2 linked regions of the Pelodiscus sinensis genome follow. The protein of the gene in region 2 interacts with the protein of the main gene of each other region in a biochemical or structural test. Links are inferred from orthologs where the notes say so. Each region holds a gene or a part of one and is shown on either strand. Other genes may lie near its edges.

Evidence for each region.
Region 1: of the proteins of CUL2 (region 2) and DCUN1D3, one has a biochemical effect on the other in vitro, tested with the Homo sapiens proteins (2 studies listed by BioGRID, with this or other methods). The link is inferred for Pelodiscus sinensis from reciprocal best matches to the Homo sapiens genes CUL2 and DCUN1D3.

The regions. Positions count from the first base shown.
Region 1 is NC_134726.1:22,096,610-22,103,833, forward strand, and holds the start of DCUN1D3 (DCN1-like protein 3), read right to left. Parts: upstream 3,020-7,224; 5' UTR 2,906-3,019; intron 2,870-2,905; exon of another isoform or gene 2,002-2,869; intron 1-2,001. UniProt on the Homo sapiens protein: Contributes to the neddylation of all cullins by transferring NEDD8 from N-terminally acetylated NEDD8-conjugating E2s enzyme to different cullin C-terminal domain-RBX complexes and may play a role in the cell cycle progression by regulating the SCF ubiquitin E3 ligase complex, after UV damage.
Region 2 is NC_134712.1:231,951,322-231,959,128, forward strand, and holds the start of CUL2 (cullin-2), read right to left. Parts: upstream 3,002-7,807; 5' UTR 2,843-3,001; intron 1,188-2,842; 5' UTR 1,149-1,187; intron 1-1,148.

The sequences.
Region 1 (7,224 bases), on a different chromosome or scaffold from region 2:
CTCACTGACATATACAGAAGAGAGGTGAGAATAGGTGTGGGGATGTCGTTTGTATTTCAGCCTGCCAAATAGTCTGGCAGCCTCTATCCTTTGGACAGTAAGTAATCTTCTTCCCCCTCCCAGGCTTACAGAAGTAGCTGCCCTAGATTTTGTTATCGAAACCACCCTCTTTCCCTGTTACTGATATTGTTGCCCTTCTTCATGTTAAGTGCTTAAAGTCACAGCACCAAAGTGCTGTTAGAAAAATTTGTTTAAAAAAAAAATCTATACAAAAATCCAATGATATAAAAACTACTGCTACTATCACAGACTGAACACATCAGCCAAGTTTATCAGGAATAACACTTAACTAAGAGCTAATGCTAAATACCTGCACTCTATAGGCCTCCAACCCCCCCATTTCTGGGATCTAGTGGCAAATTAGAGATCATATAGGTTATCAGGCTCAAGAGTAAAGGAATCACAAGAGCATCAAGTTGAGCTATCAAGGAATATTAGGGTACATCTACACAGCAGGGCTAAAGTTGAATTAAGCTATGCAACTTAAGCTATGCAATTGATGTAGCAGAAGTCGAAATAACTTAAATCGGCTTTTGGCACGGTTTACACAGCAGGAAGTCTAAGGAAGAACACTCTTCCTTCAACTTCCCTTACTCCTCATAAAATGAGGGTTACAGGAGTTGGAATAAGAAGTCCTCCAGCTTGCCATTATTTCAAATAATGGCTTGCAGTGTAGACACACTTTGTTATTCCAAAATAATGTCAGTTATTCTGAAATAACGCTGCTGCGTAGACATACCCTTACTGATACACATATACCCCTACTATCCCAGCATCTTTAAACAAACTTACGAAGGTTGAGCTCTAACTCAATATTAACTATGAATAAATTATTAGAATAAAAAAATACTGCATAACTTGAACTTTCCAACAAGTTTCTAACATTATTTGCACTGGAATTAGATTGTGTCTGTCAACACAAATGAAGAACTGTACTGTCTTTGTAACTCTTTTCCCCCTATGATACCGATATGTAGTTGCCTACTGCATGTTGCCTTTCATCTGAAGAATTATAAATGCTCTTCACAGACCATTACTTAAGCCTTACAGTACACTTGAGTTTAAAAAAACAAAACAAAAACAGAGCCAAGATCAGATCTCATGACTCTCAGCTCTATGAGTTAGCCAAGAGACCATCCTTCCACTATTCTTAAGTACCTGGAAAGTGAGTGATCAGACACCCAGCAAAGCCTTTATTAGAGTTAAGGTGCACAAACGTTCAACATTAGCCCACGTCAAATATTAACAACTACTAACAATGTATTAAATGTTTAACATGGAGATTCTAAACTAGATACTAGAAAGTTATATTTAGAAAATAGACATCACCTGACCATTTTCCTCATCTGACCATTCTCTTCAATAGTACTGGCTTAACCTGAAGTTCTTACTTAAGAGCAAAATATCGAGTATTGCAATATGGTAACTCATTGGCAATTTTCACTTTTGTTACAACTTACACCATACCCTAAAGGGAGAATAATTAATTTAGAAGAATATTCTGCAAAACAGCTATGTTGCCATAGGTACCCATTTGTTTTATAAAACATAGCATTAATAGTTTTAGCTATATTATATAAAGAAACCCAAAGTATTCCTTTCAATAATAGTAATAGGAAAGAAACGGTCTTTTCAACTAATGTTTGCTTCAACATCGTTTACACAAGTTACTCCAACATTGTTATTAATATTACTTATAACAGTGTCTACATAACCTAAACAATAGGAGTGATTGGGACACATTTGCAGCTTCCATGATTAATTTAAATACACACGTGATATATATGGAATACTAAAAACCTGCATGGGTTAGGTCAGCATTTTCAAATAATGAAAAGAAGACTAACTTCACCCACATGTACTTTCTAACATACACTATGAAGATGTATATACACACATCATTTAGCATTAGATGATTGCAAAATATGTTTAAAAGAATACCTTTCTAGTGTGTGTTTATGAGCCAGCTGGCAGCCACCCTTCACTCTAGGTGGTTGGTTATTGTTCATTAATGATGTGGATAATTTATAGAAAGACATTTTAGCATCCTTGAACATAGAACTACCAACATAATATCATCATTTCCACAGATACAGATACGATGACTTAATCAGTAATCCTCTTGGGGCTAGAGAACTATGCTTCTTTTACGCTGCTCAAATAGTAGGAGAATCATATACATAAAAGATGAAAAAGCACATTGGAGTGAAATGTTACATTACAACACCACAAAACTAAATCCTCCCACCCTTTATCTAACATAAATACCACACGATCTCTTCTTTCACTGCTGACTCCGATAACTTCCAACAGTTCCAGAGGAAGCGTCTGTTTAAAGTCTAACCCTGAAACCGCTGCACCCATACCGCTGAGAGAGGTGCGTGGCGGGGGTACGGTATGCGGAGGAACTACTTGTTATCAGGGCAGTAGCGTGAGTACCTGTTAGAGGAGCTTCAGGGTAGAGAACCCTGTAACCCTCCACCCACTCAGACGGCAAAGGGATGGACATAGGACCCTCCCCACCAGCCCGGTCCATCCTTTAAGAGATGCGGATACACTCCGCCCCACCAGCACCCCGTAAGCGGCACAGAGACCCCGCAGCTTCCTCCCGCTCTCTCTCTCGGGGGGCAGGGACCCCACAGCCTCCCCCTCAGGGGGCAAAGACCCTCCCCCCCACGCAGGGGCTGGAGAGTCTGGTTTATGAGCCGGGGCACTTAGGATGATGCTTTTTCCCAGCCCTATTATCTCCCTACACGGCCCCCCTACCCCTCCTGGCCCCCCACAGCCCAGCACAGGCAAAGCCTCCCTGAAACGGACGGGAAGTGAGAAGGTCCAATTCACTCACCCTCGGCAGCTCCCAACCAGACTCAGCTTCGACCCCCTCCCTCCTCTGCATCACTTCCGGGGGTGAAGCGTCAGCTGGATGCGTGAGGCGTCGTCACGCAGAAGAGCGTCCCGGCGTGCCCGACGCTGCACGTACAGTGAGGGAAAAAGCGGGCAAGAAACCGCTCCCGCCCCCAACCGGGTTGAGTGGCGACTGGAGTAGGTTGGAGCGAACCATTACGCAAGGAAAGGGGGGAAACTGTGAGGAGGGCTGTAGGGCGCTTGGCCCTGAAGGTAAAGAGGGAGAGGCAGATAGAGGGGAAAGAGGTCGATGTTGGTATGCAAAGATGACCTAAACTGGGATTTGGAGGACTCGTGTTGCCACCTCCCCCGGCTCTCACATTGGTACAGTCCAGCTTGTAGGCGAGTAGCCGGTGGTGGCGGTGCTGCCCTGACCGTCCGGGGGCGCTGAGGGGGCCGCCCTGGCGCAGGGCTGGGCGCCGCCTCTTTGCAAGTGTCACATCAAGGGCTCGCTCCGGCCCTGCTCGCTGCTGCAGGTTCCCCCCCCCCCCCCGCAGCCAGGAAAGTTGGGCAGCCGCCCCGCGAGCTCCGAGCAGTCCCGCGCCGCGCCCCTCACCGCAGAGCGGGCCCCTCGCCTGCCAGCGGGTCCCCGGGGCAGCGAGCACCCGGTGCTTAGAGACTCCCATCCTGGCAACGCAGGGCTCCTGCAGCCACGGGCAGGCTTCCCGCGAACATCCCCCTGGGGATTCGTCCCAGCCCAGGGCTCGTGGTCCCACCCTGTGAACCTGGGCGCTTGCCCCTGGAGGGTCCCCACACTACACAGGGCCTCCTTTTCCTCTTTGGTCCCGGCTGCGGCCCTCAGCACATCCCCTGCGGGCAACTTCCCGGCCTGGATACACCTACACCCATGTAGGGCTGCCAGGTGTCCGGTTTTGAACCAGACAGTCCAGTATTTGAGCTTTCTGTTCCGGGAAACAAATTGAGAAAATGTAAATGTCCGGTATTTTCTAAATAAGAAGCAATGACAAGCGTGTCTGGTATTTTTGTTGAAACCATCTGGCAGCCCTACCACTGAGTCATACTTCCAGTCAGGGTCCCAGAAAGTAGTTCTTGGGCCAGCTCTGCTCTTCCGTGAAAATGAAAGTGGGAATCCCCCTCCCCCTTTGAAACATTAGAATTGAATGCATATATTTAATCTTTTAAAACATTCTCAAGTGCTGTGGCTCTTTTATTGTGGGCCATGAGCCAACAGTAGTCTCTAGAGCACGTGATTGCATGTGGAATGAAACATTTTGAAAACCAACAGTGAGGGATGGGAGAGGAGGTAGAGCATGACAGAATCTCACTTACTAAAATGAGCCACAAAGTTAAAAACAGCCCTATGCCTTGCTGTACTGCATTAATATTTATACCTATTCTTGTGTTTAGGAACTGTTCCAGTGTTGGGAAATCTACATTATTTTTTTTCATGTGTTCAGTTGCATTTGGCTTAGAGCCAAGAAGCAAATAAGGTGCAAAATCCATACTTCATGTTAACATCATATTTGTAGATGCCTCTATTGTATAAGAAAGTTGAGATTTTATTACCTGGGCTAAATTTGCCACACAACATTAAAACTCTCTTCTCTGAGCATGAAGACCCAAACAGAGTAGGAGAGGAGGAAAATATTAACAGTCCAGAAAACAAGCCTATGCTCTTTTTGTATTGGTAGCAAAGTTAAATCAATATTGGCCTTGACTGCTTATGGTCATTGAATGTTTTCAGTGTCCAGAGAGGGTTAAGAAATATTTGAAGCAATAAGAGTCCTTCCCTTATAATAGCCCAAATAAGGATTTTACTCTTCAGTCTTTCACTTATTATTAGAAAACGTAAGTTAGGATGCAGGACCATATGTGCTGCTTAAACTAGGCAAAGCATTCACAATCCTGTGCTAGCAAACTCAAAACTATTTTACTGTATAGAATTAGCCATGGACTAGATCTTTTCCATTTATTCACATGTAATGCTGCATCAAAGCCATGTCACAATGTGGTTACTGCCACATGTGTGGAGAATCAGTTCTTGGTTCTTTCCATGTGAATGAACTTATATGGAAAGCCAGTGATAAAATCTAAGCCATTGATTTACAAATTGAACTGTCTTCTTGCTTTCAGTATTCATTATACTTTCTGGTCGATACTTTACTCAATACTTAAATGAAAATTAAAGAAACAAAAGTTTGATCTTGGAGGACTCAATGTTGCATGTGGCCCTCTCTTCACTTACCCCTTAGAATTCCCACTAAAGTCAATGGGAATTCCAAGTGCATTGAGTGTGTGAGTAGCTCAGAGGTGTTGAGTACCAACTGGGTTAACAGTTGTTTTAAAGCTGAAACTTCTGTAACAGAATTCGAAACCAGGCAAAACTCCCCTTGTTCCAACTTTCATTACAGACTGGTTTCTTGGGCTACTTTTACTGAAAAAGCACACATTTATGATTGTAGATAGAAACAGTGATAAACTTTTGGGTCATTTCATCTCTGGAGTAACTCCACTGAAGTCAACAGAGTTATACCATTGATAAAAAAAAAAATGGGATTACAGTAGGGGTGGATTTAGGCCTTTGGTTTTATTTCATTTTCACTTTATTTTGCTAAGTGGTCTTTCACTATTCTTGGCAGCTTTGAATTTTACTATAGATTTGGAGGTTAACAAAGCAAAAAATTGTATCCACAGCTGAAGGAGTAAGACCTTTCAAAAGTGAAAATCCATGCGAGTTGCCAGCTAAATGTATTGTGTATACCTAACTGATGCAGTCATTTGCAGTGTAGCTATTCTACAGTGTTCATAATGCAAAAAATTGGAGGGGAGGCGCTAAATCTGTTTAATTTGTGTGAGATGGAACGTAGGAAGTGAATGTTGGATTCTAAGATTTTAATATAATTGGAGAATGTCATCTTTTTAGCCATCCCAAGAATCCTTGATCTCTCCTCATGACACCACCTCACAGGAGCCAGCTTTTGCAGCTGTTGACCCTTATGGAAATTATGAGCCCAGTTCAATCCTTATATAAATCCAGGATCTTCATTTCAATATGCTTACACCAGGGATGGATTTGTTTGAGTGACTTAGTTACTATGGATAGCTGTGAAACTGAGTGAATGATTTCATGTCACATTTGCCAGCTGGAGAGAAACTGGCTCTGTGTTAGCTAAGTGTTATCAGTGTTCTCTAAAATAAAAAAAGCTTGATATAAAATGCAAGCATTGTAGTGAGCAATAGCCCAAGAATGGTATTAGAATTACAGTGGTACAACACACTATTGCATTCAAACTGGATAGAAATAGTATTGTATAGGTGGTTGAAATAAGTTATTTTCATAATAGGCATTGTCAAATAATGTATCCTATTCAGAACTCCTTGCCAGTAGCAAACAGTCAAATAGCTGATGATGTGAAAGAGGAGCTATGCTGCACTTCAGTGTCAACATTATATTTGATTGCATCACAGTTGCTGTTTTAAACTGTTCCCTACAGAGTTTTATTCCCCTGTCAAACAAATATGGTGTCAGCACCTAATCAAGTTTGTGCAGTATTAATGAGCATCCAAGTTAAAAAGGATGTAGAAGAGATCGATTGGTAATGTTTCTATTTTCCCTTATTAAAATTCTACTTTTCTTAAAATCCTAGGTATATGTTGATAGTAGGGATGTCAACGTGTAGATTACTACACGATTAACTGATAACAGGATTAACCAAGAAGCCCAGGTTTGACTACATGCATTTCCCCCATCTGCTGCCTCTATATTAGAGAGGAGGGGAGGTGGGAGCCAGTGTCTCTCCCCTCCCTGCCATGCTGCTGCCTCTAATAGAGAGGCAGCAGCACAGAGGATGAGGGGAGCAGGCAGGAACCAATATGTGCAGGGAGTCAGCTTATAAGCAGCTCTCCATGTGAGCCTGCTTCACATATGTGCCTGTCCCCCCCTTGCTGCCTCCTACAGAGGCAGTGTGGGGCAGAGGAAGGGAGGCAGGAGCTGTTGCCATCTTCCTGCCCTGCGCTACTGCCTCTAATGGGATGAGGGAGGGAGGGATGGGAAGCTTCTGCAGCAGCAGCCTCTATTTGTGGGGAGCTTTGCCCCCTCCTTCCTACCGCCCCACAGACAGGGGCTGCTGCCTCTAATAGAGGGGCAGGAGCACAGGAGGCTGAGAGCACACTGGCTGCTGGCCCTGCCTCAGGAACTATCAATCAAATAGTCACATAACTGCTAAAATTTGATGCAGTTACAGGACTAGTTAATTACATGCTATCTAACATCCCTAGTTGATAGATTTGATAATTAAA
Region 2 (7,807 bases):
CCCCCAGGTGCCCGGCAGCCCCAAAACATTGGGGACCACTGATTTATGACAAAGCTGCTCAACTTGAAGGGTACTAGCCCGATAACGTAGGAATTCACTGCATGTGTCAGCACACTCACCTACTAGCTAGTAACCGCTGTTATCTTCTGAAGTATTTACTACTGGCTGAAAAGTACCCTAAGGCTATGTCTACACCTGCGGCTTCTTGCGCGAGTAATATGAAAATGAGGCTAAGCGTGGAATATTGCCGAGCCTCATTTGCATACCTAATGAGCCACCTTCCTCCCCCCTGCCCGAAGAGGCTCTTGTGCAAGAAGGAGCATTTACACTGCCCCTTCTTGCGCAAGAAAAACCCTCTTGCGCAATGCCGTTACACGTATTACTTTTCAGGAATGGCATTGTGCAAGAAATACGTGAAACGGCATTGTGCAAGAGGGTTTTTCTAGCGCAAGAAGGGGCAGTGTAAATGCTCCTTCTTGCACAAGAGCCTCTTCTGAAAAAATGGTTGCTCATTAGGTACGCAAATGAGGCTCGGTGATATTCCACGCTTAGCCTCATTTGCATATTACTCGCGCAAGAAGCCGAAAGTGTAGACATAGCCTAAGTGTGTCCTGTACTTCAGCAAAATCTTGCTTCCCCTCCCCCCACATATGAATGTTTCCTAGCCCAGTGGATTACAGAGTTACATAGGGCTCCTATACAACTTCCAAACAATCTGCGGTCAGCAGGGACTGCTTGAAAGTAACAGAAATAAGGCAATTGACAGTTGACCCAAAATAAAGGTAACATCAGTGCTTCAAAGGGTCAAAAAAAAAAAAAATCTCAGAAGTAGGTATGGTAAAGCCTGTCCTATACAAGGAAGCAAAGATCCAGATATCTTTAAATAAAAGTCAACCCCTTCTGAGTTCCAAACTCAGCCAAGAGCAGGGCACAGGAAAGACTGTACACATTAACTCCCAATACAGAAGTGCATGGGACAAGAGCACCTAACCATCCAACAATACTGTTGAAATTGATAAAATGCTGACAAATGCATAAAATTATAAAAACTAAAACGTTTAATAATCAACATATTTCTACGTGCAAAATCAACCACAGTCAGTGTTTAGATGTATAATATAAAAACCATTACAGAGACGAGAGCATACCTTCACTTAGGATACCGTATTCAGCATTGGCCACTTTCTCTAAAATGGATATAATGGAAATAGATGGTGTTTAGAAGCATGAAAAAAGCTTGCATATAAAAGACTGCAAATATTACATCTGTGTAGTCTGAAGAGGACACAAAGCAGAAAAATGCATTAAGAGACGGTGGACTGGGCATTTCTATTTACCTTCTCACACAAAAACAACTGGAATTTTTAATAAAATTTCAAGGCAACAAATTCTGAACCAAGAGAAAAATATATTTATATTAAAAAAATTGGCTTATGGAACTCATCTTATTAGGATTCTGAGTAGTACTTGACAATTATACAGATGAGAATATCAAGTTAAATCAGGATACTCTCTCTAAAAAGCCATGTTATTACTACTAATACATCATTGTTGTGTGTTAGTATTTTCATTTTAGTAGAAACATTCATCAAGTGTACACTGGGATGTTTAAAGAAAAAGTGTTTTCCACATAGAAGGTTGTTACTGTTAACATGAATTCACACAAATGGCAACAATTTATAATGAATCCCAGGAAAGGAAGAGATTTGAGGCTTATCTATTCCAACGGGAGGATGAACTCCAGTAGAAGAAGCTAGGAAACAAACTACAATAAAGCATGTCTTTGGCAACCAACAAATACAACTAATCTTTACCTAAAAGGATAAAGCACACACTTACACTAGAAAGAGTGGGAACACTTTTTTGATGAGACCTAAGCAGAATTTCTCTGCTCTTTAAGAGTAGCTACAATGTGGACACACTGCACTAATATAAAAAGCAACTTAGACTAGTACAGCTTACTTCAGACCAAGCTGTATCAATGACAAAGATCTACACTTAACTTAAAGAAAAACAATTTTTTTAGCATAAGGTGCTGCAGGACTCCTTGGTGGTTTTGCAGAAACCAACTAACACAGCTACCCCTCTTACATAGCCATTGGTTTTCTTATCCTTTGGTTCCCATCCCCAGATACCCTATTTGAATTAGAGGAACCAGCAAGCGTAGGTTTCACGAACATACAAAGACCCCAATAGTTCTACAGACATATGTTATGTGTTTTTTGCTTTCACAAGGGTGGAGTGCTGGGTGGCAGCCAGGAAAAGAAGTGGGGGGGGGGAGGGGAGAAGGGGACGACCGGGGAGAGTGGGGCACTAAAGTTAGAATATCGAAAATAATTTAATTAGTCAAGTCCAGCAACCAGGGCCCTGAAAATCGCCGAGGAGCAGAACCGAGCAGGGGGAGCAGCCCCTGCCGCCCCACCCACTACAGCTGCGGGTCTCTCACCTCCCTGCCCCTTCGCACCCATATTAGTCACTCACAAAGCAAAAGCGAAACTGGCGCGAGGGGGTAACGCTCCCGGGGCGCGGTGGAGGGGGAGAGATACCGGGGCCTGCGAGGCACAGAGCTCAGGACGGGCGCGGGGAGCCCAACATGGCCGGGACCTCAACCCGGCGGCGCAGCGTGGGGAGAACAAAACCCGTCACGAGGGCGAGAGGATGTGGGGCGCAGGCAGGGCCGGCAGGCGCTCGGCGGCCGCTAACACCCCCCGCCTCCCCGAGGGGCCCGGCCCAGCAGGCCCTGCGCGGGGAGGTCAAGCCCGCTCGGAGCCCGGGGAAGCCCCCGCTCCGCTTCCCCGCGGCGTTCGCTACCGGGCCGGAGGCGCCTGCAGCGCGCGGCTACCTGTCAGCACAGGCCGGATTCAGCGGAGCCGGCCCCCCTCCCTTCGCGTCCTGAGGCTGCAGTCCCTGCCCCGCTCGCCCTCCTCACACCGCTGCCATTCCCCGGCCGCGGCCCCCGTCTCTCCGCCGGCGCCGCCACTGCGCTGCAGACCGCGGGGGGAGGGGCACCTCCCTCACTCCGGCCCCAGCGCGCTCCGGGCCTGCCTGATACTCACCCGCCCCCGCTGCGTGCGCTTCAAATCGCACAACCGGCCACGGCTGGCGCTTGCCCAGTGGCACTAGGCGAACAGCCAGGGCTGGGCGCGATGCACCTCTCCCCCGGCCGGTTTGGTACAGTCCAGACTACGGGTACAGCAGAGGGTCTAAATTCATTCGACTTTTGTTACCGTAAATAACTAATTGAACTCCCCTTAGCGCAGGGCCAGACGGGGCCCGCATGCGCATGCTTCGCGCTACTCGTTCGGATTGATTTCCCTTCTCTGCGGTGCGCATGTGTTACTCACCAGCTTCCACACGCTCTCTGCGCGTGCTCCTTTTTCGGGAAGTCGCTCTAGTGAGTCGATGTGCGCTGCTCGCATTGTATGGCTCGGGGTGGTGTCTTGTAGGGCTACGCGAGTTATACACGCGGGATTCCGCTCGCACCGGTCTCCAGCACCACAGCGCTAGCTCTGCTACGGTCGCTGTACCCGCTTTCCCTCATGCAAGTGCAGCCCATCCTGCAAGCATACACCAGTGCTATGTCCTCCGATACAGCCGCGCCCCACTCTGCATGCCTCCAACCTGTCACCGAATTAAAAGCACAGGAAGAGATTCAGTGCAAGGAAGCCTGAAGCAGTCGCATGTAGGAAAGTCTGTACGCCAGCAAGGTCTCATTCCACGCTCCATTGGAGTCTGATTTCCTTTTGGAGAGGCAGGAGACAGAGCATGCAGCCTTTCAAGATATCTATAAAGCACCTTTTATACATTTACTATTGAGCCCATACTATTACTAGCCTGAGGTACAGTATATTAAAAAAAAGCTCCTATAATTACAAGACAGTTGGAGGTTAGTCACAGGCATCTATATCTCTAAACACATTCATAGTTAACTCCCTTGCTGCCTCCGCTATCAACTCCCCCACAATCTTCTCCCCACCCAGGGACAAAGAAGATGTGTTGAGCCGAGTTAATTAAGGCAAGATGAAGGCCAAGTGAAGGCAAGCCAGTCTGTAATTTCACACAAGCTCACTTTTTCTCTCCCGTGAAGGCAGCACCCAAGTGTGATTACTTGGAGCTCTCACATCGCCACATATTTAATAACAAATATCTCACTACCCATACAGTTCTCACAGCTTGATGTGTTCCTTCCTCCCACTCACTGAGATTTCTCAAAATATTCTGCATAGCTGCCTCTTCTTCAGCTTTCAAGGAAGATATGCAGTGGGAATCAGCAGAGCCCAGCAGAGGTGCCAAACTCCAGAATCTCCAGGAATTACAGATTAATCTTTAATTATAATTTATGTCTCATGATGAAGCCTTCAGGAATACATCAAACCAAAATTAGCAATCCTACCTGCCTGTCACCAGGAACAGTGAAAATTAGTCAGGACATAACTCAGGAGACTGCTATTTTGCATGATGCCTTTATACCATTTGTATAAATTGGTAGAACTGCTAAATTCCACCACAAACCTACCCACATTGGCGCCTCAAAAAGTGTAAACCGATATACATAAAACTAATATGTGCAGAAAGTTATGTATATTCACAGTTGACTTTCTCCATCTGTCCCTTACCTCTTACGCTTCTCCTCTGCTCTTTTCTCATCCTGATAAATCACATCTGTAATATGTCTTCTCCCTCGGAGAGTGAAATAATTTATGAATGGCCTCTTTCAAAGAAGATACCCCACTGCAGTACTTCCTACTTTTCTTCACCCTCCCCAAACAATCCATCAAGCCTTTACTTTCACAGTCTTCAATTCTTACCCCTCAATTTCTTCCTAAATTTAGTTGGGCTCAGGCTCCTCCTTACCAACCTCTGCTAATCTCCCATTCTTCCAGCAGGCTAGGCCATTTTTCTCTAGACACGGTCCAGCCATCTCCCTGTCTCCCTAGAACACTGTTACTCAGAGTACATCTACACAGCAGCATTATTTTGGCATAACTGATGTTATTTTGAAATAACAAAGTGAGCACCTACACAGCAAGCCATTATTTCAAAATAATGTCAAACTGGAGGACTTCTTAGTCTGACTCCTGTAACCCTCATTTTATGAGGAGTAAGGAAAATCAAAGGAAGTGTGTTCTTCCTTTGACTTCTGGCTGTGTAGACAGCACCAAAAGCCAAATTAAGCTATTTTGACTTCAGCTACACAATTGACATAGCTAAAGTTGTGTATCTTAATTCGACTTTACCCTGCACTGTAGACATACCCTCAGTGAGCAAGGTGACTTCTGCTAGTATCTTCCTGGTCATGTAAGGGGACTCTGCAACCCAGCCTCAGATGCAAACCATATGGGAAGTTGTGGGAGACAGTGAGCCCTTTACCTTTTCCAAAGCAACTGAGCATCCTTAGGGTGTGTCTAGACTACATGCCTCCTTCGACGGAGGCATGTAGATTAGCCAGATCGGAAGAGGGAAATGAAGCCGCGATTAAAATAATCGCGGCTTCATTTAAATTTAAATGGCTGCCCCGATCTGCCGATCAGCTGTTTGTCGGCAGATCGGGGGAGTCTGGACGCGATGCCCCGACAAAGAAGCCTTTCTTCATCGACACAGGTAAGCCTGGTTTCACGAGGCTTACCTGTGTCGATGAAGAAAGGCTTCTTTGTCGGGGCATCGCGTCCAGACTCCCCCGATCTGCCGACAAACATCTGATCGGCAGATCGGGGCAGCCATTTAAATTTAAATGAAGCCGCGATTATTTTAATCGCGGCTTCATTTCCCTCTTCCGATCTGGCTAATCTACATGCCTCTGTCGAAGGAGGCATGTAGTCTAGACACACCCTTAGTGTGGAGCTACTGATTATTACCTCAGGATTCAAGTGTGTGACTGCAAGACCAAGGTAATATCCCATTTTTGGAAGGTGGGATTTTCAACTACAGAGAGTTGCAGGCAATGCCAGGCTTTGTCTACTCCTCTTATGTAATGTTTAAACAAAATAAATTTGTTAACAACAGGCATGCTATTCCAGTGTCCCTGTAACCGTTGTTCCATGAGGGATACGGGACTTGTTGGAATAGCAGTTTATTCAGAAATTATGTAAGCAAATTATGTAGCATATTTTGAGGTAAGAGTGTGGTGTAGATGCACCCTAAATGGAAAAGTTGCTTAAGCTAAGTTACATAGTAGTGAACAGTAGCTACTTCTATGTATTGCAGCCTAACAAAGCAATAGAAAATAATGTAAGTGCATGTGTAAAATTGTTCACTTCAGCATTAAGAACTTTAAAAATATTTTCTTCAAACATGGCTTCCTTTTTAAAGTTGTGGTCAGAAAAAATAACTAACAATTACATCTCAACAAGTTTGCTTCCTCTGGTGAGATTTTTTTGTATTTTTTTTCTATTTGAAAGTTCAGACTGACAAGAAAAAAGGACAAGAAAACAGCCAATGACTTTCTGAACCCAGACAAAATAAAAATACATTGTAGCCTTTGCTAATGCAATTGATACCTTGTTTAGAAATGCAGTTTAATTTCTAATTCTCCTTTCATGATGCATATGGAAAGTTTCATCCAGAAAAAATACTGTTTGGTTGCAGCTTAATTAAGTGTTTAAGTTTGACCAAAAGCAGTTTAGCTAATCTTGTATTATATAAGCATGACAGCCCCCATATACACTCATCCCCTTGCACACACTCCACATATGTTATAGTAATTTTTTCACTTGCTTAACTAAAATAATATCTAGAAACTAGAAACCTCTAGTTGATAATCCAGTAGTGGTTATATCCTGAAAAGACATTAAAAATGGCTTAATAATTCTCTCAACAGCTTCCACATCAGGCTTGTTCATTCCATATAACCAGATTGAGTTTTTTGTTTTAAAACAGTAAACTCGATCTTGTATCACAGTTAAGCTGTTCTGGCTGTCATATAACACTACAAGAGTTCTGCAAATGAATCTTGGAGTCTGACCCTGTTCCCCACCGAAGTCTGCTTATTTTCACATGACTCCAGTGGGAGCAGTATTGGGTTCCTTATTAATTCTGATTAGGATATAAGAGTTAACTTAGAACTCAGCTTGTCCTCTCCTAGCTGTATCATCTCCATAGTACTTATAGCAGTAAACCTCATTTTTGTCATTAAAATTAAGGATGTTAAGGATGTAATTGACTATCGAATAGTCGATGCATTTTTGCATTGTCTATTTGATTAGTCAATAGGGTGCCTCCACCTTTGAAGTGTAGCAAGAGCTCTAAGCTGTTGCTACACTTCAAAAGTGAAAGCACCGAAGCCCGGGGTCAGCTGGGGATCTTGGGCTCCACGCAGCGCTGCCACTTTGAAATGCCACGGGGATCCTGGCTCCTCACAGCATTCAAAGTGGCAGCGCCACACAGAGCAGCTGACCCTAGGCTCTGTGCAGGGCTGCTGCTTTGAACTACCTCCCTTCCCAAGTAGCAAGGGTTGGGGAAATGACTAATGAACTATCCTGTTGGTTATCCGATAAGCATTTGCTATCAGATAATCGATTAGTCCTTCACATTCCTAATTAAAGTATGCTGAAATGATTTGGAAATCTGACAGGAACAGTGTTTTCCCCACTAATTAAAATGGGGGAAGGAGGGTGTTTGACTATACAGAAGGGATGAGGGCTGATAAGGAGTGTGGGCCAAGGTGGACTGTATGGAAAAAAAGAAGAAGAAAAAAAACAAAACACTAAACCCAGGAAAAAACAGAAAAAAAATGCACGACCATTTTCTTAGATTTAACTCATGTTTTACAATCATCACAAAAATTAAAGCTAGCTACTGAAGCCTATTA